Linked DNA regions of Rhinolophus ferrumequinum. The protein of the gene in region 3 purifies or fractionates together with the protein of the main gene of each other region. This does not show direct contact. Links are inferred from orthologs where the notes say so. Each region holds a gene or a part of one and is shown on either strand. Other genes may lie near its edges.

Evidence for each region.
Region 1: the proteins of AURKB (region 3) and SEC16A purify together in Homo sapiens (affinity purification with mass spectrometry; 3 studies listed by BioGRID and IntAct, with this or other methods). This does not show direct contact. The link is inferred for Rhinolophus ferrumequinum from reciprocal best matches to the Homo sapiens genes AURKB and SEC16A.
Region 2: the proteins of AURKB (region 3) and PPP6C purify together in Homo sapiens (affinity purification with mass spectrometry, with the first as the bait; 3 studies listed by BioGRID). This does not show direct contact. The link is inferred for Rhinolophus ferrumequinum from reciprocal best matches to the Homo sapiens genes AURKB and PPP6C.

Annotation. Positions count from the first base shown.
Region 1 is NC_046295.1:82,364,647-82,371,911, reverse strand, and holds the start of SEC16A (protein transport protein Sec16A), read right to left. Parts: upstream 3,022-7,265; 5' UTR 2,971-3,021; coding exon 1-2,970. UniProt on the Homo sapiens protein: Acts as a molecular scaffold that plays a key role in the organization of the endoplasmic reticulum exit sites (ERES), also known as transitional endoplasmic reticulum (tER).
Region 2 is NC_046295.1:74,838,584-74,846,634, forward strand, and holds the start of PPP6C (serine/threonine-protein phosphatase 6 catalytic subunit), read right to left. Parts: upstream 3,069-8,051; 5' UTR 2,907-3,068; coding exon 2,832-2,906; intron 1-2,831.
Region 3 is NC_046304.1:10,789,578-10,796,663, reverse strand, and holds the start of AURKB (aurora kinase B), read right to left. Parts: upstream 3,105-7,086; 5' UTR 2,974-3,104; intron 2,693-2,973; 5' UTR 2,668-2,692; coding exon 2,620-2,667; intron 614-2,619; coding exon 511-613; intron 403-510; coding exon 363-402; intron 118-362; coding exon 1-117. UniProt on the Homo sapiens protein: Serine/threonine-protein kinase component of the chromosomal passenger complex (CPC), a complex that acts as a key regulator of mitosis.

The DNA.
Region 1 (7,265 bases), on a different chromosome or scaffold from region 3:
TGCGGACGGCACCAACATGCCGTCTGTGCCCCCAGCACGGCTATTCACCAACTCTGGAAGAACGTCCTCTGCATTATGAACCTTTTGACCTTCGGGAAGCAAGCTCTTTGGAACTGGATGAGATGGTGGCTGAACCAGCAAATTAGCAGGTTGGGCGGAAACCACTTCAGGGATAGCAGAAACTTGTGGAAAATTACTCTGGGCAAGACTGTTAGGCAGAAGCAAGCACGTGAGGGAGCTGGCTGGAACCCCAGACAGAGGAGCGGCTTCTCCACCATCACCCCCCACGGCCCGGCTGCTCGTGGTGGCTTTGTCTCCCACCCGAGCGTCTCTCCAGGACCGACTCTTCTCATTGGGGTTTGACAAGGACACAGAAAAATGAATGGGCTGAGCCAGGTGACAGCTCTGATCAGGCTGGGCAATCAAGACCAGCTGATTTCGCAAAGATTCAGTGGGCGGTGAGGACAACAGACTGGCATAACCAGAACCAGAACTCGCCTGCGACAGAAGGGTGTCTTCCTCTCCCATTTTGGGAGGGTTCTCGAGATTCTCAGAAGCACCAACGCCGTCGCCGCTCTGCAGAGGGGGCAGGCAGCCAGGCTGCGGGGACAACTGACCGGACACCCCCTCATCTGGGGGCTGAATCACTTCTGACGGCTGAGGTTTCGCAGGCACATGCAGCACAGGAGCAGCCGGGGCTAGGAGGACGTTGCCTCCGAAGTCTGGCAGCTCGTTCTGGGCCCAGAGCGTCGTTGCCGGGCTCTCACACTTGACGGCTCCCTGAGCCCTGGTCGACGGTCTCTTCTCAGGTGTCAGAAGCACGGATTCCGAGGGCGGCCCCAGCCCCTGACCAGCGTCCGTAGGTGTAGCAAGAGGCAGAGGACAGGCCTGGGCGGGGAGGAGCGTCTCCATGTTGTCCGGTGGCTGCTCCAGATTGCCAGGGCAGGCGTCGGGCGGCACAGCGGCCGGTCTGCGCTTCCTCCGCTGGGCGTGGGTCCCCCGCACCTCGCCCACCACATTAGCACGATCGGCCTCGACTGGTTTCACTCCAACTACGTGGGATTTCACGGGTTCAAAAGAACTATTTGCACTTGTCTGAAAGATCCCTGTAGGTTTTGGGGGACTTGGGGTTGAGGGCTGGGGCAGGCTGCTGTGGTACTTCTGGCTCACGGCAGTGTCGTCTGTCTCGCCCCCCACAGGAGAAGAATCGATTTGCTTAAAAAAAATCCCTGAAGCCTCGTCCTCAGGTTTCCCAACTTCCTGCTGAATGAAGGTGCCCAGGTCCTGGGGCCTGGCCGCACCTGGACGACTCCTGTGGCTCTTGCTACTGTAACTGGACGACAAGCCGTCGGGGCACACGGAATAAAGCTGAGGGTCCAGGGCCTCGAGATTTGGGCCCCCACCTCCAGCGTGGCCCATGATACTGCGCCTGGGGACGGCTGCTCCGGGAACGGGCCCGTATCTGAGCTGATCGCCTGGGGAGGAAGGGTCCAAACTGGGGGGTTCACGTGGCAGAACCTCTTGATTCTGAGTGAATTCTGAGTTCTCGGCATTCTCACAGTGTGAGCCACCAGCGTCCCGAGTCCCCGCACCTGCCGTGTCAGCCCACACATCAACAGCAGCGTTTTCAGTGGTTGGCTTATCATGTTGGACGCCTGAAGACCGAGGGAAGAATGGGTGCGTGTCTCCTCCCTGCGGCGTGGTCTCACAGTTGGAGGCGCTGGGACAGGCCTGGTACATGCCGCCTGCCCCCACGTATGCAGGGGGATGGCCAAGTCCAGGGCTGGGGGAGAACCCGTCCAAGGCAGACTGACCAGCAGAGCCCGTTTTCTCAGATGAGAGGTTCTCCTCATTTTCTGTCTCTCCCCCTTGGAAAAACATGGAGAGCGCACCTGAGTCGGCGTCTGGCGGGGCCCGGCTGGTCCCGGCCCCCACGGCATAGTGCAAATGACTTTCGGGGCTATTTCCCTGAGCGAGGGGGTTAACAGAAGCAGAGTCTGGCAACTGCTCTTTATTCACTCCTGGATTCGGCCGGAAGTCCTGGCCAGCCCGAGTGTTCCCAACTCGGAAATTCTGCCTGAATGCATTTTCAAGATCAAAGTTACTTGCTGAGTGGTTTCCACTTTGCAGGTAGGCTGCTTCATCTCTTCCGTCACCAACCATGGGTCCTGGTAAAGACACCAGTGGGCTGTGTGGCTCGTGGCCAGGACCTTGATGTGGGGTGGACGGAGCGAGGAGGTGGGAAACGCTGGAGGCCTGGGACACCGCATTCTGAACAGGTCCTTCTGGACAGGGCCAGTAATGCTGAGCTGGGGGCTGTGGGGCTCCTTGCACTGGCCCCCACCGCCCTGACATTTGCTGATGAGGCTGAGGGAAGAAATGGGACGTTGCTGGTGCCACAGCACTGTCGTGCGGGTTCTGCCCACTTGGGGGCCTGTCGGGCCCAGGCAGGTTCCCATGTGGATGGCCCCCATGAGAACTGTCAGGACCCGCTCCTGGAATGTACTGAGTCTGAGCTTCCCATTCGGAGCTGGACGAGACCTCGGCACTCCTGTTCATCTCGGGCCCAGGCGGTGCTGAAGAGGTCAACACACTGGAAAATGAGCCCGCATCTGCCCTGGGCTGCGACACAGATCCCGGCAGAGGCTCGTGAGGTCCCTGGGAGCCACCCCCAGCATCTGTGTGAGGCACAGGCAGACCAGAGCGCTGAAGAAACGCTGGCAAGGCCGGGCCCGGCAAAACAGGTGGGCTGCTTTTGGACAAACTGCCCAACGATGTGCTCTGGAGCGCCTGTCTACTAAAAGCGAATGGGTCCGTCACCGGCTGCAATGGGCGAGCTCCTGGAGCCACTGGTGCACTAGCTATCGCCTGTCTCCTATACGGGCTGCTAGACCAGTGTGTGCTCTGAGGGGTCCCGGCTGGAGGTGGCCCCACCACGCCGGGTGGGACGGCCTGGGGTGGTGGCTGCATGACTGACAGATGCCACTCACGGAAAGATGCAGGATACAGGCTTTCCTTAATCTAAACTGAAAAAGAAAAAGAAAAAAAATTAGCATAAAATCCATATATTCAGTCACGGTTGCAATAAGGAAATTAAGAAAAAAGACAAAGACTGTCACAGATTTCACATTACATAAGTCCTGAGGGATACATGTCTGCTCCCCCCACTGCCGGACAGAACTGCCGCCGTCCCGGGAGCTCTGGGCAGCAGAGCATCGAGCGAGAACACTGGGCCGGAACATGGAAGCTGGCTGTGCACTGACTAACTGAATGACCTCAGACAAGTCACTGCCCTTCTCTGGGGCTCAGTTACGTAGCCCAGCAAAATACCCACCCAGAATGCCCGCTGCCTCCATGGTGCCCTCACCAAGCTGGCAGGGATGAGGGAGAACCTGCCGGTCTGACTGACTAGCAGGGACACAGTAACTTTTCCTGTAACTTATCACCAGACCCAGAAAGAGCCAGCTCCCTGAAGACTGCATATCACACTTCTCATACAGGTTCATTCTAACTCTCAAAAGGAAAACCAAAGTTTAAAATGTGCTCTTCCGTTTTCTTTAGTGAAAAAATATTATAAAGTACAGAGTGATGCAAGCTGCAAAGTAGGAACATGAACCGTATTTATCTAAAATGCCTTTTATCCCACCACGTAAGTCTCATTTTCTGCACTTGGACTGGCTGAATACCAACAGCACAATGAGCTGCCTGACTGTTGGCACGTCATCACTATGCCTGGTAAATGCCAAGTCCATGTAAAGCAGCTGTCAAAGAGACCAAATGAGGGGGCGGCCGGATGGCTCAGGTGGTTAGAACACGAGCTCTCAACAAGGTTGCAGGTTTGATTCCCGCATAGGATGGTGGGCTGTGCCCCCCCGCAACTAAAGATTGAAAACGGCGACTGGACTTGGGGCTGAGCTGCGCCCTCCACAACTAGATTGAAGGACGACGACTTGGAGCTGATGGGCCCTGGAGAAACACACTGTTCCCCAATATTCCCACATAAAAAAATTAAAAAAAAAAAAGTACCACCAATTGGTTGTTACACAGTAGTCACGGGGACGTAGGGTATAGCATAAGGAAAATAGTCAATAACATTGAAACAAACTAAAAAAAGTGACCAAATGACTTGATTCAAACATTTTGAAGAATAGGCAGAGCGCCAACAAAACTTTTATAGAAACCAAGGAGTAAAAATCCTCTTTACAGTGTTTTCTGTTGTTGATTATTTTTAAATAAAATATATCAGGTATAACCTTGAACAGTTAACCTGTACTTTGAAAACAAAAAGTCCTAGTCCTGCCTCTTTACAACACGCTTCTCTCTGCAGGTATCCCTCCTTTTCTCCCTAGCACCACCCTCACAAACGGATTAACTTTAGCCAATCACAGAGGAAAGTAAACACCAAAGGCAGAGGTGGTACAAGGACTCTGGAGTTGAATCCACATGTTTTGGTTCTTGGAAATCTTTCTAATGTGCAAATTAAAAAACCACTTATGAATGTACTTTAGGTAAAGCACTTTACAAATAAAAGTTCCTATCCCCAACTGAAAACGAATCCTACGAATCTGATTCGCTACCATCACTGCCCGCACACGCTGTCCTAGGTCAACAGGAAACCCTTCCCGACTAACACTTTGCAGCTCACTCAAATTTAATAGACTGTATGTTATATACTAGGAACAGCATCAGAGACTTCATTTGGTTCCAAGCTGTCATTTTAAAACAAAGAACATTTACGGCTCAGCTTTATATGGACTGAGGGTAGAACAGGCTGAGCGTTTTCCTTTGTGAAACAGGTACCCAGGACGTCTTCCGGGACACAACTTCCTCCTTGCAAGGCTTCAGAAGACCCTCAACCATTCTAAGTAGCTTAAAAAAAACAAAGCACGGAGCACAGGCCTATAGGATTTGTTCATCAGGCGTCACTGTGAGAGCAAGACTGGGCGTCCAGCCGAGTGGCTTGGGCACACCTCTTCTCTCGCTGCAACCCAGTGTCTTTAGCCATAAAGGAGAGAATTAATGTGATGACTTCTAGGGTCCCTTCTAGGTCTAATCTGATCAAATTCTACTCCCAGAGGATTCTAGGGTGCACTAATTCCTACCACTGTTTAACAAGGAAATCTTACCAGAATCTACATTTCCCATGTTTATACTTAAATGTTTTCCTTGCAGAAACTTAAAATTTCCTCAGCTCCTAGACTGAGAATCGTTTCAGAAGCAAACGCTACTCTCCTGACCACAAAGTGAGAGCTTTTTAGCAATATACCAATTCCATTTGAAACAATCTTGGACAATCTTATTCTTTTGATCTTTTTTCTCTATTCACCAGCAGAAAAACAATGCAACTGCGTGTCATTTGCCTCCTGATGACAGGGAATTTTATTCTGTCCAGTAAGTCATGCTGTAGCCTCAAGTCGTCTAACTTTAAAAAGACAGTTTCAGAAAGACCAGCTGATTTTAAGATGCATTATTCATAAACCTAGTCTTCGATTTAACTTGCTTGTGTCCGTGAAATATTTTGGCATGACCCGTGTCCAATATAAATTCCTAGCTACTGAACTGAGATACTTAAAGCACACTCCTCCCCTCCCAGAGCCACTGCCCCAGCTGCAAGTGTGTAAACCAACAGGAGCACGAAGAAACACCTGCATCTGCCCTCTGCCTACGACCTCCCCCATGGTGACAGCTGGAGTGACAGCTCTGCTAGACTAAGCACTTGACCCAAAGACACCATAAACTCCAACTTTTCTAAGTACAAACACATTTAGATATTAAAGGAAAAGAAGCGGGAGTCTAAACACTGCTAAAAATGACAAAAACCCATGCTGACACTGAGAAAAGAAGGAATCATATGAAAGTTTACACACTACCCTAAAACAAACTCTCAGTACAATTTTGAGACTTACTGTAGTAACTGCTATTAAGGGTGAATGAGTCACAAGGAACAAGAAAGAAGTGCTCTTTTGCTGCTTGTCTTATCTTTTTAAGATAACAGTACCCACAACCCTAAGAAAGGGCATGGAAAAAAAAAAAACTGCAGGGAGGGTGGCTGTGCTCAAATTGCACAAGTGTCACTCTAGGAACAACTGTCTGTGACTCAGTTTGCTTCTTGTCATATATGAGGATAGGAAATACCTCTGGTAGCACCTGCATCATATGTACAAGGTGTGATAAAAAAATACAGTGAACGCTGCTGCTGAGTGCCACCCAACAGAAAGGCAGGGATCTTTCATATGGGAAGCAGCCTGTCAAACCTTAGTAAGTGTGTGACAAGTTTCAACTTGTTCGGTGCAGTCAGTTGGGTGTGAGCTACGGTTGAGAGAAGATGTGTTTCAAAGTGTGGTGTAAATCATCCTCCATCGTGACAATGCTCCATGTCACACATCGCTTCTGGTATATGGCAATTTTTGTCAAATAAAAACATTACGGTGTGTCCTCATCCACCTTATTCACCAGATCTGGCACCATGTGACTTCTGGCTGTTCCCTAAAGTCAAAACGACCATGAAAGACAAACGTTTGGAATCGATTCAGGACATCGAGGCAGCCACAACAGCACAACTAAAGTCACTCAGGAAAGAGGACTTCCAGAACTGGTTCAGAAAGTGGCAGGAACGACGGGATAAGTGTGTTGAAGGTGTGTGGGAGTACTTTGAGGGGGATTAATGGCAGTGTCTTTTACTGTAATAAACTTTTTAAAAATGTAAACATTTTTATCACATCTCATCTATAAAACAAAACCTTAATAACCAACCCGTGTCCCATCTCCAAGGCATTTCAAAGTGAAGCTGCAAAAACTGATTTTAAATGGCTGAGATGTGTCCAGACGCTGTTGTAATACTTTCCTCACGAAACGAGCAGGCTGGTTTACACATCCTCTAACCCTTGATACAAAACACCAGCACTTGACCTCCGTTGCAACATCTTGGTAACATAACAATGCTGCTCCCTGGTTCAAATGTAAATCTATCTCATCACCTGCATGGCTCAGTAGAAATCTTTCAACCCCTGAAGACAAAACAACTTCAGAACCTTAGAAGCAAAGGACGTGTTAAGAAACTTCCTAAGTGTGTGTACTCTTTAAAAAGTTGCAAGTCTGGCCTATCCCCCAGCCCTTCCAACACGACCCCACACCGAGGCCAGCAAGGCCGAGACAAGTGTCAACACAGCTGAGCCGCAAGGCACTCGCCAAGGACCCGGCCATTCATGTGAGGTCCCGGTCAGTCTGACCAGCGGGCAATACGGTGCGGGAGGCGACACGTGTGC
Region 2 (8,051 bases), on a different chromosome or scaffold from region 3:
CATAAAAAAGCCAGGGAGAATTCTTTGAACCTTTATGGAGGCATTTCAGACAGAGGTACAACTGTGCAGAGCAGGTAGCCTTATATGAAAAACTTAGGAGATGGCTCAGACTAAACATAAAAGTGAGTTCCAAAAAAAATTACATTAACAATTAATCCATAAAAGTGGTTACTATGGAATCACACAATTCCTTGTGTTGCATCTCTGAGACAGACACTAGTATTCTCCAACCCCTACCATGGTAACTCTCTTTGGTTCCTCAGTGAAAAAAAACTGTACACCAACTCAGTGTGCAATTTCTTTGCTTACATGTCACCTTTAAGAACTATCCAAGAGATCAGACAATCTCCAACTTATAAAACCCATCCCCTGCCAAAGTATTTAAGTTGAAGTATTCAGTGAAACAGTCTTTTATCATTCATTCTTCCACTTGATCAGATCAGTCTACCTATGTCTTCTATGATCAGCTCTGAATCCTTATGGATGAGAATCACATGAGCTCTTTTTAAAGAAAGGGTATGCTTTGGTCCACTCACTTTTATAGTTCATTCTTATTCCTGCGAAACAGTTACGAAGATTCGATTGTGTACTAGTGACATGACCACTTACAATTTAGGTGTAGAGAAATCATGATTAGATCTAGAGCATCTTATACATTTAGTATTTTACTTAGTACCTCCAACTTAAAGTCAATTTAAAACACACTGAATTTCTGCCTTTTCTACCAGAACAAATCTTTTCCATAATGATCATTACGTGATCCCAGTGATTTCTTTTCTTCCTCTTACAGAATCTTTTATTTTGGCTTTAAAGCCTTAGAAAAGGTACTCCTGGAATACTTTCTTGGACTGCCTAATTTTAGTTTGCACTTCATGCCAAGAAGAAACAAAATTAAATTTCTTTAAATACACCAGAGATGAGCATACATCACAAGCAAATTAATCTGATAAAAATATTTCCAAGACAAAGAAGAAAAGCCTCCCCTTATTTAAAAAAAAATTCAGAATTTTTCCCTCAGTAGATTTTTTTAAATTTATTAATAACTAGATACATGCTAAGTATACGCCAATTGTGTTGCAAAGGGAAATGAAATGGTTTAAGAACTATTTTTCCTTAAGGTTGGAAGGAACTCTAACGTTTATCAAACTAAGAGGTCTAAAGAAAATCCAACTGATGTATCATCCAAATAATTTCAATATCAATTTCAAGTTAATATCAAGACACATTTTCATAATAAGCAACATTTTACTAATTATAAACACAAAGCTTAAAACTGCTTTACAGATGCTAAAGAATAGAAAATTTCACATCAATTCACTGACAAAAAAACAATAACTTCACCCATGGGATTAACAATGTTACCAAAAGATGTCTGGTTAGATTTCCATGAACTGGATACCAGTGTTGGTTGTATCCTTGTTTCCTTAAAAAGCATATAGCAGAAAGAAGCCACAAAGGACTCAGATGAACATGAAAGCTGCATTTCTACTAATACTGGCTTTGTCCTCCTTTTAATTAAATTATCCTATTCGTATATGTGCTGCCGAAGCGAGCACTAAATTATCCTATTAAAAAGGGGGACATGCACAAGAATGACTCCCCTATCATATAGCATATATTTACCTATAAGTACAATAAGTTACATTAAGGTCCTTTGGCCTTCAAGATTTTGCATACTTTTTGACTGACATTAAACATCAACTTCCTGCATCAAAAGGGCAAAACAAAAAAACCAGTAACATCTTCCTTAAAAGAAAAAAATTCACGGACAAAGATGAATTGCTTTAAACCCACAGCTTAAAAGTATAAAAAAAAATTCATAACTACACAGTTTACCCACTTACCACATACAAACCAAAGTTAACTGAAAAAAATAAAAGACAGTAGCCCTACTAACCGCTATATGCTGCTGACACCTAAACACCGGTTTTAACAAACGCACAGAAATAGAAACACTTGTCAAAGACTGACGTTTATTCCTTTACCCACACATACTTTACTGTTACTTGGACTTGGCAGTAACAAAAAACTCGCCTCCTTTAGTAAACCAAAAAAATGAAATATTGGGTTAAGAAAGGATTATGGAGAAACACCTTAAAGGACAGAAAAGTATTTGTATTTATTGAGGGCCTACTAAATTACCCACTTATATTAGTTTTACCCACTTAAATTAGCTCAACAACATACTTGCAAATGGAATTCATATCTGAGCTGGCAGAAGAAAACCAACACTCCTGAAAAGCAGCTGGGAGGAGTGGTAGGAAAAGAGGGACGACTTGACGTTTTCCCGCATCACCACCAAACCGCTCCCGCCCACCGTCTTCCAGTCCTCAGGAACCCAAACACGCTGACTGAGGACGCGTTCCGGAGGCCGGCGGCATCTCCTGTCATTCGCCAGCCACCCAGACCTCCTGTCATATTTGGGGGGATGACCCATTCCGAGGGCACTGCCTGCTGGGGCTCGGTTCGGACTCCGGAAGACCGGAGATGGAGTTAGGGGCGAGAAGACTTCTGTTCCAAGCACAGCTGTGAGGGCTCAGTGCCCCGGGACACCCGAAAGCCAGGGGGGATAACCCTGGGACAGAGGCCGCGACATCCCTCAGGATCCCCACTACGGAACTGGGACAGCATTCGGGGGACTATGGCTCCGCTCCCTCCGCTCTCCGCAAGAAGGCAAGTCGGAACGGGTCGCTCAGCACTGCGTCAGGCCCTCCATCGTGACGGGACGGGATGCTGGCGGGGGTCCGGGGTAGAGAAGGGCGGGCCGGCGGGCGCCCCACTGCCGGAAGGGGCGAGCCCGCCAGCAGCGCTCCCGCCCCGACCGGGCTCACCTTCAGGTCGTTCTCCGGTAGGTACTTGCACAGCCGCGCTATCTCCACATACTTGTCCAAGTCTAGGGGCGCCATTTTAGAAATAACAAGCCCGGACGGCGGCGGCGGCGGCGGCGGCTGGAGTATCGGCGGCAGCGGCAAAGGCCGAAGCCGGAACTCTTCCTACGTCACGTCCGGCCCGTGAGAGGCATCTGCGCAGCGGCGTAAAGCTTGACCCGATTCTCCCCGCTGCTTCGGCACGCCCCGATCCTTCTCCCGCTGAACGCAGGCTGCGGGCCCTAAGGGGCTCCCTGGCTACATAAAATGAAACCGGCTGCGACCCGTAGTTGTCTGCCGCTGAGAGGGATGGGATTTGTAGTTTTCAGTAGCGGCCAACTACGCCTCTTTTCCTCCTCTTCCCTTCCTCCAGACTTTAACGTCTGGGGACCCAACGAGGCTTTTCCGATGCAAAACGGCGAAGTATGTGACTCTAGTCATTCCCTGGTTTCCCACTACGACTCATTTAAGCATTCTGTCACGAGAACATCTTCAATTAAAAATTAGGTAAGCTTGGCCGTAGTAATCTGTTTGCACCTTTCCGAGGCCTTGTGAAAACCTTGCCTAAATCTGTGGCAGAGATGTCAGGCTACGAATCTTCCAGCCTGGAAGGAAGCGAAACAAATATTAAAGCGTTTTTTATGCCACATGCTATATAAATGCTGTTTTTCCTCATAATGATTGATAGGAAAGCAAGGCTCAGAGAGGTTAATTTTCCCAAGTTTCAAAGGGAATAGGCGCGGGAGCCAGGATTGGAACACGGGTCTAGCTGGTTTAAATATACTTCAGTGTGAATCCCATGCGAGCACGTAGTTTTTGTTGTACCCTCAGTTCCAAGAACAGGATCTGGCACTAAGTACCTTCAATATTCGTTCATTCAACAGCTTTTACTGAACACCAACTATGTGCCAGGTACAGCTGTCGACACTTGGGATATTCAGCAAACAAAATAGACGAAGATCCCTATCCTCAACCCATAGCTACTTTGTAGTAGAGGAGACAGAACATAAGCAATAAATATCATAAATATATAGTATATTTAAAAGTAATCAAGTGCTGGGAGGGGGGAAGCACAGCATGATAAGGGAGGTGAGATGATGCATTTTTAAGAACCAACAAAGAGGTGGGGGAGTTAGCCAGCAGATACTAGAGGGGAGTTATGAGAAAGAGCTAACACAAAGGCCTTAAGATGGAAGCATATCTAGAACCTTGGAAATGGCAAAAAAAATTAGTGTGGTTGGAGCAAAGTGAGAAGAGGAGATGTGAGAAAAGAATGTTGTTGTTTTTGTTTTGTTTTGTTTTTACTGATTTTTACTTTTAATGTAACGGAGTTACTGCAGGGTTTTGAGCAGAGGAGTAGTAACATCATCTAACTCATTTTAGAAGGATCTGGTGCAATATGAAACTAGGAGGCAATGGTTGCAGCTGAGAGACGAGTTAGGAGACTGTTACATAATCCAATAGTAGCAGGTTCTCAATCTATATTTGTTACTCAAGTGGCCCTGGACTGGATCCTCTTGTTCTACAATGTAGTTGGGGGACATTTGGCTAAAATTTAATCAAGTCTCTGGGTGGAGTTCTTCATATATTTCTTGTAACTGTTCTGTAAGTATAATATCATTTCTAGTAAAATTAATTTTTTAAAATTGGTTGCACAATGAATGATGCTCACAAACATACATTTCTTCATTTGTTCAATAATAGTTACATAGTACCTATGATGTGAATGATACAGGAGACAAACAATAAACATAAATGAGCACGTAATTAAATGCAAAGTGTGATTACTGTTAAAGAGGGAAAGAAGGGGTACTGTGAGTTAAAAAATGGAGGAGAGGCCTATTTTAAGATTGTCAAGATAGTGGAGGTTAAGTGTGCAGACTCTAGAACCAGAGTTCAAGTCTATTACTCACTGTATCACTTTGGCAAAGTTATTTATCTTTTCTGTGCTCCAGTTTTCTCAGCTACAATATGGAGATAGTAATAAGTGCCTACCCCATACGGAGATGTTCAGAGTAATACTTTATAGGCTTGTACTAAGGTTTAATAAATTTAATATGTGGAAAGGGGTTAAAACGATGTCATGTCCAGAGTGAGTGCAATGTGAGTGTTAGCTCTTCAGCATTGGACGGCAGGAAAGGCCTTTCTGAAGAGGTAACATTTAAGACTTTAGGGGGAAAAAGTATAAGGGAGAATATGCTCAAAATATCTTGAAGAAAAAAATTCCAAGTGAGGAAAATATGCTACTGTTGACTTTTTTTTTTTTATACTCCTCTTTGGAAAGCTGGCAGTTCACTTTTCATCTCTGCACCTCAGTAACTGGGAATGAATCCTACTCAAGATACTATCTCAGAATTGGGAAGGAGGACAAAGTGCTTGAAAGGAAAGTGTCACCGGCATCATTGCTTCCCTTGCTGATAAGCCAGTGATCAGGTAGGTAATGAAAGCATATGAGATCCTTTCCAGTGAAAATAACTGGTAGTCCTCACATTACCAAATTGTCTGGCAGCAAGAAGCTCCATCCTGCAGACCCACCTTATTCGGTGACCCTCACTGTTCACATGAGGAGCATAGAGAAAGGAGGAAGGTATCCCTGAATGGTGGGTGAGTTCTTAGAAGAGGTAATAGACACATTGGGTGGTTTGTTACACAGACAGTGAGTGTACAGAGCTTGCTGACTGGAATATGTCATTAGTCTTCCTTGCACAAAGCAGAAGATCTGGGCTCCTGGTTCTGCCATTTGTGTGAGTTAGTCATTTTAACTTATCTGGGCCTTGATTTCCATTTTAAAAATAGATCTCAAAAGTTCCTTCTAGCACTTTCTGAAATGTGATTTCTAGTCTAAAAGCATAGGTCCCACAATGAAAACTGTTTGCTATTTTGCCCACAAACCTCTTCCAGTTTTTCTTGTTTATGTGCAACTCCAGCATGGTATTTTGAAAAGTACTTTGAAAAGCCAAAAGACATAGGGGACATCAGAGCATTCTACAACTCTAAGCAGAAATCTCCATCTAGATGCACATGGACATATGGCAGAGCCAACCTGCCCTTGGCTTCCTTTCCTGAAGGAGAGCAGAATGACTAAATACCCCTAAACTCCTCTTTGGCAGTCAGTGGAGATTTTCCCATTAATATGAGAACTCACAAAGACTCCAGGTGTTTGAAATAGGATGTTTGAGCAGTGAAGAGAACTGCAGACCATATTGTCAATAAATTTTCATTATAGTTTCAAGTAACCAAAATATTTACCAAGTTGGCCTTTCACCTGTACTATCCAACACTCTCAACTGCTTCCTCTGAGGTAGGTGTTACTATTCCCATTCTGTAGATGATGAAACTAGGGCTCGCAGAGGGTAATGAACTTGCCAAATGTCAGGGTTAGATGGTTAGTGCTGGAGCCTGATTTGAACCCAAGTGTCTCTTTCTGCTTCCCACTATGCTACCATATTTCTGTACTCCAGGAGCTCCCATATTTCCTTCCTTAGCTGTTTCTTGTATTTCCTAGGATACAATTGGCCTCAGCCCTCTAAGAGATTGCGGGGGTTCTCTGAAACAGGCATTGGTGAGCCGCCTCTCCATTTTGAGGAAAGCCACAGGGAACCTATGGTTATGGAGACCAGAGAAAATGCGGATGAACACTTCTAACTCAGGACTCACGTCTAGAGTTGGGTTATAGCTAGGAATAGCATTATACTTTACAAAGGACCAGCTCTACACCAGCAGCTGGGCACTGAGCACTTTATATTAGCTCATGTATTCCCCACCATAACCTTGTGACAGAAATCTTAATTAGCCCCATCTTACAGACAGGTAACACCGAGGCCCAGAGAAACTTAACTTTCCCAAGAAATACTCTCATTGATGAACTTTTTATTCCTTACACTTTTTACAAATGTACCTAGTTATTTGTTTTTCTATTTAACCTCTCTCTCTCCCTGTCTAGTACGGTTGTAAACTCCAGGAGGCCACGGACCTTTTTTGTTTGGTTCAGCATAGTACCTGCCATAGTTACACATGCTAATTCTGGAATGAATCAGCCCTTTAAGGTGCCAAATCTTGAACTGGCCTAAAGACTGAGCAGGTAGATTTCACACCTAGGAAAACACCCTTAACTCTCCCTTTCAAAACCCATTTCTAATAGTCGCTGGAACTGAAAATATGCTAGCCCCTTTAGGATAATAGCCCAGCTGCTGAAGGAAGTGGGTCATCCAAGTGGAGGCCCCCGCATTTCGCGTGTAAATCTTTTCCAAGTAGCCCTGGTTTATTTACACCGCTGACCTGGCGGATGAGGTCCCTACAAGCGCCCGGCCTATTTGATCCCAGAAATGCACAGCCCGGCCTACACCCCTTTAAGGGATCTCTCGGGGGGCTGGGCTCTGGGGGTGGGAGGAGGGGAGCGGTTGGCCGCCTCGCTCCTCCGGGGTCTGGGATAGGGCGAAGGCCCAAGCCCCGCCCCCATTGGGGCGGAGCCACAGTCCGGTACGGGCCAAAGCCACCGCAGGTAATGCGGACTGGAGCTGGGGGTCACAGGACCCAGGGTCTGAGGCGATTCTGGGAAGGGGCGGTCGCATCCTGTAGGAGAGTGGGCTCAGGCCGGGTGGAAAGCGCTGGGGAGACCCTCCTCGGCTTCTGGCTCGGCCATATTGACGGAAAGGAGCCAGCCTGTTCTCTCTCGACCCTGTCTCCTGTCCCCTGTCGCTGCCACGCGGGTGGGACTGGGGGATGGGTCTGGCAGGTGTGGCTGCGGGAAGGCCCTGGCCATAGAAATTTATCCCACTGAGCTTTGGGCTTTGGGGACAGCAGTCTGTAGCTTTGGCCTGAAATTGGATTTATCCCTTCATCTCCCAGAAATCTCATTCATTTTCTTTTTTCATGCACTCATCCCTCATTTTTACTCTGTGGCCCATTGGTAGGTTCTCTGAATGAATCTGACAGGCTCAACGCTCTTGGAATTCAGTCTAGAATCTAGTCTAGAAAACTTTTAAGTAGATAATTACATTCAAGGTGATCCCTGAAATGATGGTGGTTCAGAAAGAGAAGGAAGTAACTAACTTGAGGATGTAAGTGGAAAGCAACACATCAGTTAAGGTTTTACTGAGGAGGGTTCATTTGAACTGGGCTTTGGAGGTTGACTAGGGGTTGCTGGTTGACAAGAAGGGAAAGCACTTTTCAGGTACGGGAAGC
Region 3 (7,086 bases):
AGCACCTTGAGCGCCACGATGAAATGGCTTTTCTTCTCCCGAGCCAAGTACACATTTCCAAACTTGCCTTTGCCCAGAGGACGCCCAATCTCAAAGTCGTCAATTGTGAAGGACCGGCTGATTAGAGAGTGGGGGGAAGGCAGCTGAGTACCAGTTTGTGGATCACCTGAGCTGTTTGGCTTCTCCCTGCACCTCAGCTCATCCTGCCCTCAGCCCCATTTCTCTTCCAAGGGAGTCGAAGATGGATCAGGTTTTCTTGCCTGCATCCCTCCTCCTCCTGCCCCTAGCTTCTACCTCCCTCATTTCCAACCTGTTCACTCTCCCATCCGCTCTTCTTGCCACCCCAAGGCTTGGGCACTTACATTAAGTTGGGTGTCCCACTGCTGTTCTGGCCATGGGCAGCTAAGGAGAAAACAGAGAGGTTGAGGCCGTCCTTTGACATTTTCATCCCCGCACCCTCCCCAGACTCTAGTTCCTTCAGGTCAGTCCTCTTCCCCTTGTTCCAGTTACCTGTGGGCTGGGCACTGGAGCGGCTCATGAGGACAAGCGAAGATGGGGTGGCAGGCTCCTTCTGGAGGACTCTCTGAGGCAGGGTGTTCAAGCCAGAATGAGCCTGAGAAAGAGCACAGGGAGCTCTGAGGGTGCCTTTGTCCCAGTGACCAGGTTGGAATGTGCTACAAGCAGCATTCTCGCTTAGAGCCACCCACTCCCAGTTGAAAGAGGAGCACTGTGACCACAATATTGCTACTCAAATATTGCTGCTCAGAGCCCCATATTAATGGGTTATTAATAAATAAGCTAAACGGGCCGAAGATAAGGAGCAAAGGACTTACCCCAACACCTAACATTTCACCTCATTGGCCTTGGCCCTCACTACATTCTCTAGCATGAAGCTGTCCAATCTCTATAGTCCTGACCATAACACCACTCGTTCACCAACCCCCCACCCCAGGGGACAGTAGAGAGGGCTGGGGCAATGAAGATCCACAATTCAAGGAGTTTCAGCACAGAGGCATTCTCACAGTCCCCTAAAGAGTTCAGTCTAGTAAGGCTTAGATAAGGTCCTTGAATGTTCAGCAAACATCAGTTTACCCCTTGCAACCACAGGCTTTAGGGACACTGAGGGCTACTTTGTTGGCTTTGGACCACTTCTCACTTTCAACTTCTGGGTAATATACACAACTTCCTTCTGGGAGTGACCAGTGTAGAAGTGACAGTGGTTTCTCACTCAGCCTCTGCTCTTGACAGCTCCATGAGGGAGGGAGCTGGTAGACAAGGGGACAGGTGGACCCTCCCGGATACTGAAGCCCACAAATAGGGAGCAAAGCCTGTGTGGGCTCCTTCCTTTTAATTTAGCCAAGAGAGGAAGAAAGGCTATTCCCAAACAGTGATATTAGTATAGAATTTACATGTTGTCACACAACAGCCTAGCAGACTGTCCCCCCATGTCTTTCCTTAAGGAAAGAAGAGTCTGTGAGACTGTGCATCCCTGGGACTGTATATTTCTCTCTATTTAGTCTCCAAAAGAGGGGTTGCAGCCAATGACGAGTACGATTCCCCACGGGAGGGGGGGGGACAACTCAAGCCAGGCGGAACCCCATGGAGACCCCCATGAGCTGCCTTAAAAAGATTTGGGAAGGGGCCTTGTCTCCCCTTCCCCCTGCCTGGGAAAAACCACTGCTGACTCTCTGGTTTTCCCCTTTCACCTAATTGTGAGAAAAGTCTTTAGAGCGATAAGATCAAGCTCTCTCTGCTCAGCTCTATAAAACAGTCTCAACATGTGATATACATCCTTTAGGGAGTCACATACCTCACCTCAGTCATCATAGGACTTTTGCTTCAGCTGTTTGGGGACCAACATAATTGATTTGGATTGTTTCTATAACGTGATGGATGAGTCTCACAGACTGTGTCAGAAGCAATAACACTTCCTTGTATACTTGTCAATAGATACCACCAGTCGGCTTTATTCTGGGCTCCAGTCTTTGAGAACTGTGAGTCCCCTGACCTTCTGAGATTTAACTGCATTAAGTCTCTGTTTCTTTCTTTCTTAAAAACTTAACCCAAAGCCGCCCCTTCTCGCATCCTCATTGCCCGTGTTGCGCTGGACGCGACTTTTACAGATAAGCAAGTTGAACAAAAGAGTCTAGAAATAGACCCACGTATATGTGGGAATTTAATATATATAATAAAGCTGGTATTTCAAATCAGAGGATAGACTCTTCAATGAAAGGTGTTGGGATAACTGGAAAATAAATCTATTTAGATCCTTATCTCACACCCGTCATTAAAATAAAGTCCAAATTATTAAGCCTATTTTTTTTCAGGACAAGGGTTGGGAATCATGGCCCGAAGGCCAGACCCTGCTTGCTCAGTCTGTTATCATTTGTATATAACAAGAAGGCTCAGCCCTGCAGAGGTCCCTACAAGACTGGTCAGATTCAAGTTGGCAGCACGTGACCGGATGTGGCTGCAAATGATCAGACTAGATTCTGCCAGCAAACTCTTGGAGCATAAGGGAGAGGAAAGTGCTTAGAGGATCGCCCTCTACAGGAATTCAAATCTCGAAGCAGGAACTCGCCATGAGGGTGGGGGGAGGATAAGTGGGAAAGCCCTTACCTTCTGTCGGCCGTAGGGCCAGGGGTATGCGTTCTCCTTCTGAGTCATCTTTAGAGGGAAAGGGGGAGGAGAGCTGAGCAACGAAGGAAGAAAGAAAGAGCCGTTAGAAACAGGAAAAAGAGGGAGAAAAGGAGGGGTCGGACTGATGTAGCCAGACGCGATTGCCAAAGGCCAGTGAAAGTGATATCAGCAAACTGACCGCTTCAGCGCACCCGGGAGCTGGCTTCGCGGCCCCCGCCCTGCTACAAGCCCCACCCCTTTCCAGGACCCTATCTCTAAACCTTGAGCACCCAGCAGCCGGACCGAGTGCGCGCGGGCCAGCCCAATGGACCCCAGACCTGTCTGATCACTTGCCTTCTCCCAGCGCAAGACCCACGAAAGAAGGTCAGCTCCCCTGGAGCCCGCGGCACAGCCAACCTGTTGTCTGCTAGCAAACGACTGAATCGCCCCGGCCGCGCCCCCCGCTAAGGCCCTTTCAAATCTCCCGCCCTAGCCCCATTGGCTGAGCGCACCGCCCAGGCCCAATGCTCATTGGCTGGGTTTCCCATGACGTAGCCCCGCAGGGTCCCAAAGGAAGAAACTGAATGCGAGCCGCAGCATTTTGGGGTTCTGGTTTAGGCAAGTTTCCCTTATTTCCCAATCAAATATTCTCATATATATATATAAAAATATTCATATATATATATCTTTAATATAGCTGGAATTTACCCCTGTGTATGTATGAACTAGGGTCTAACTCTGTTTTCTGCCAGATAGAGAGCCAGTTATGCCAGCACAATTTGTTAAACTACACCATGCCTAGTGGGATTTATTTATTTATTTACTTGTTGTTTGTGTTTTTTTTCCAGAGTCTTTCTATGTTTCTCTCATATATAATGCCCAAGGATTTTAGTTATCCCCAGTGGAATTTAAATGCTACCCTTGATATATGAAGTCATCGCAGATACTTGGATCTAGACTCAATTATAGTAAATTATTCTTGTGTCATTACTATTTTGTTCTTTAAAGTCTTTCGCTCACCTTCCTAGTAGTTTTCCACCAGCAGACCTTTCTCTGCAGGTCTCCTGATGAAGGCCGTGTTATTTGGACTGACTCTCACTTTCACTTTCCGGCGACCCTCCCTACTTTTCTTTTCTTTCCGATCCCAAATTTTATTATTGGGTTAAATAAATACATCTTGAGACCTTCTATGAAATAAATAACTAGCAGATATTTCTAAGTAGTAGTATTGCCTATCCAGCACCCTTCCTGTCTTCAAATAATAACACCCTAACTTTGCTTTAGGGAACTGCCTGTCTCCGCATTCTTGTTGTCAGTTTCTGTTGCTGCTAACTCCAAATCCCTAACCTGATAAAGACCTTTTGTAGCGGACATTATGCTTAGCTAGCCAGCATCCATGCTCTGAGTGATTTCCACTTCCTGAAAGCACCTTGAGTTTTGTGAGATGAAAGCTGACCCCATCCCCGGTCCAGGAGTAGACCCTGTTTGATTTACATGTCAACACCTTTTACTCCAGGATCATGGTCACTGATTCAGGGATAAACATGTGACCTAAGGTGGCCATTTAGTGGGAATCTTAGAATTCTCCAGAACGCTAGGCAGAAACTCCTTTTCTCCTGTTAGAAGTGGACCAGGAAGCAAACAGCCTGGCATTGATGCTGGTGGTGCTGCCTGAGAATGAAGGTGACATTGCAAAAGGTAGGAGAGATGTCTGGGAAGAACCTAAGACCTTGATGATATGTTTTGAGCCTCTAGATGCCTATCTCAACATTTTCCTTACATGAGGCAACAGGTCTCCTTTCCTAATGCAGAGATTTGAGGATCATGACCACCCTGCTGCCATTTGTGAGAAATCATTTTGCTTCTGGAGGTTTTCACTGAGGGTCAACCCAACCCCACTTCCTAAGATCTGGGAGCCCTTTTCAATAGCGATGCCTTCATCAACATACTTGGCGTAGAGAGACTAGCCAATAAAAAGCTTTATAAATATCCTATCACTTGCAGTACAGTTTATTTCTCAGGAGTTAGTGAAGGGAGACTCTTTTGGAAGCTATCAGGGGACATAATGCCTGATAGATCTAATACAGTACCTCTGTCCCTTGGAGTAATTAAATTCCCACTTGCACATTATGTCAGAACATATTTGGCTTTTCAGGAATATTTGATGGGCGAGCATAAAATTGGGATTTGCATTATTCATAAAAGCAAAAAAAAACCTGTTCTATCAGCTCGGCAACTATCAGCTGACTGTTTCCGTTAGTGAACAAAAATCTCTGTTATAAATGATCTGTGAGGGAAGAACCAGTCTTGATTATTTTCAGTCTATCACAGATGATACTTGTATAAAATACAATAAAAATGAGTTCTTGAAAGAATGAAATCTAAAAAATATAAAAATTACAAGCCCACATTTTTGTTTGTTTGTAATCAACATATATAAAAGTACTCTGACAAATGCCGTATGAGTTTTTAAATGCTTACTTTTAAATTCTATACTTATCCTGGACCTGAAAGAAGCAGTTTGTGAAGCGGCATCAGTCTGTGGACCACACTTTGAACATCACCAATCTACACCCATAGTGATAAATGTAGCCCCATCCAAAATTATGCTCACTGTCCTTAATCTGGCACACACAAAGTTGACACTTCTGCAGATATTCCCTGGGTTTATAATGACATAAATTAGCAATTTCCTCTAAGGAACTCTTTTCTTCTTTCCTCTTGCTTTGCTTTTCACCTCTCAGTCCATGTTAGGTGTGGATTCTGGCTACTGGCCAAGTAACAATGAGAGGGGTAGGTGAGAGGGGATCACCACTGTTTATCTGCCAAGGCTGAATTTTCATGTGACTGGGAAGGCTCAGAACTGTGTTGTCTTCCAAAGTTCAGGGCAGGATGGCTGGGATACTATAATGTTTGGGAGGCACAGATGTCAGTACCTTTTATTTTAGATAATGGAATATCCACCAAAGAAATTTCAAGACATGAATTCTCATCATCAGCCAAGAAACCCTGTCCAGGAGTGAGTAGTAGACTCAGAAAGGTCTAGAAGGGGCTCATTGGGAGACGCTGGCGAATATCGCCAATGTCTTTTCACTAACTTGTCCCCCTTAAGGTAAAGCTGAAGCAGTGCTGCTGAGTTAAGTGGGTGCGTCAGGACATGGCTGCCCTCCTCCATCCAGACTCCCCTAATCATCCCCAGGTCAAACTTCATTGCTGGGTTTGCTCTTGGCTATTAGAGCCCAAGTGTTCACCTTTGGCACAAACCACCGGCCTGGACAAAATGTGTCTCTGCCACGATGATGGAAGTCCTGTCCAGGTCCATTTACGTGTCTTCACAGATTGGATCAAGATGGACAGTGCCACAAGCCTCTACACTACACTTCTAATACATTTTAAAGACTTTTTTATTGAAGTGTACATACAGAACATAAATAGCTGGATGACTTTCACAAACTAAACACCCCTGTGAAACCAGCACCCAGATCAAGAAACAGAACATCTTCAGCACCCCAGGAGGACCCCTCGTCCTCCTTTTCCAGTCACTACCCCCTTTCCCAAGAGTAACCACTATCCTGATTTCTAACTTCATAGTTTTGCCTGTTTGTCCTTTATAGTCATGGAATCATACGATATATATTCTCCTGTGTCTGACTTCTCTCATTCAACGTTATGTTTGTGAGATTTATCCATGTTGTTGATGTACGGACTTTGAAATATACACGAACATGATAACATTTACACAGGCTAGTTAAAAGTAAGTCTCTCTACCAACTTTTTTTTTTTTACAGTAAAATATGTCAAGTTTTATTCATGAATTTGTGTTCACATTGACAGTTAAAAACACAAAGGTCTTCTTCTCAAAGGCATCATGAAGGGGATTACAATAGATGAAATGAATTAAAGTCATGTAAGTATATAAAAGTAAAATGCCACGTGACATCTATAAACTGGGCTACTTTGTGTTGCTGCTCCATGTCCAAGGACACAAGCTTCTAGATTTCCTAAGTGAAAGGCTGGGTGAAATTCCCTGGAAGTGAGTAATTGCATGGTCCATAAAAAAGTGTCAACCAGTGTTCTCTGAAGTGGGCATAGCCATATCTCACACAGTATCCGTCCTGTACCAAGAACCATTGTTGAGTAGGTGGGGGTACCACAAAGACACTGCTCAATTCAGTGTTGTTAAGTGTGACATGGGAGCTGGGAACCGTATACTCCCAACAAAGTTCAGCAGAAATTACCTGATTCCTTGGTGTATAGGTAAGCTAGGATTGAATGACAGCTTCATCAGAGAAAACCTGTGTTACAATTCCACAGAGACTAACAGGATAATCAAATTCAAGTTGGTCTTGTCACACTTCAATTGCCTGATAGCCACTTCCCAGAGATAATTCGTTACGGCCTACCAGTTGATCTTGACAAAATAGTGCTCTTTAAGCTACAGCGTAGAAATTAAAATGGCTGCATTCC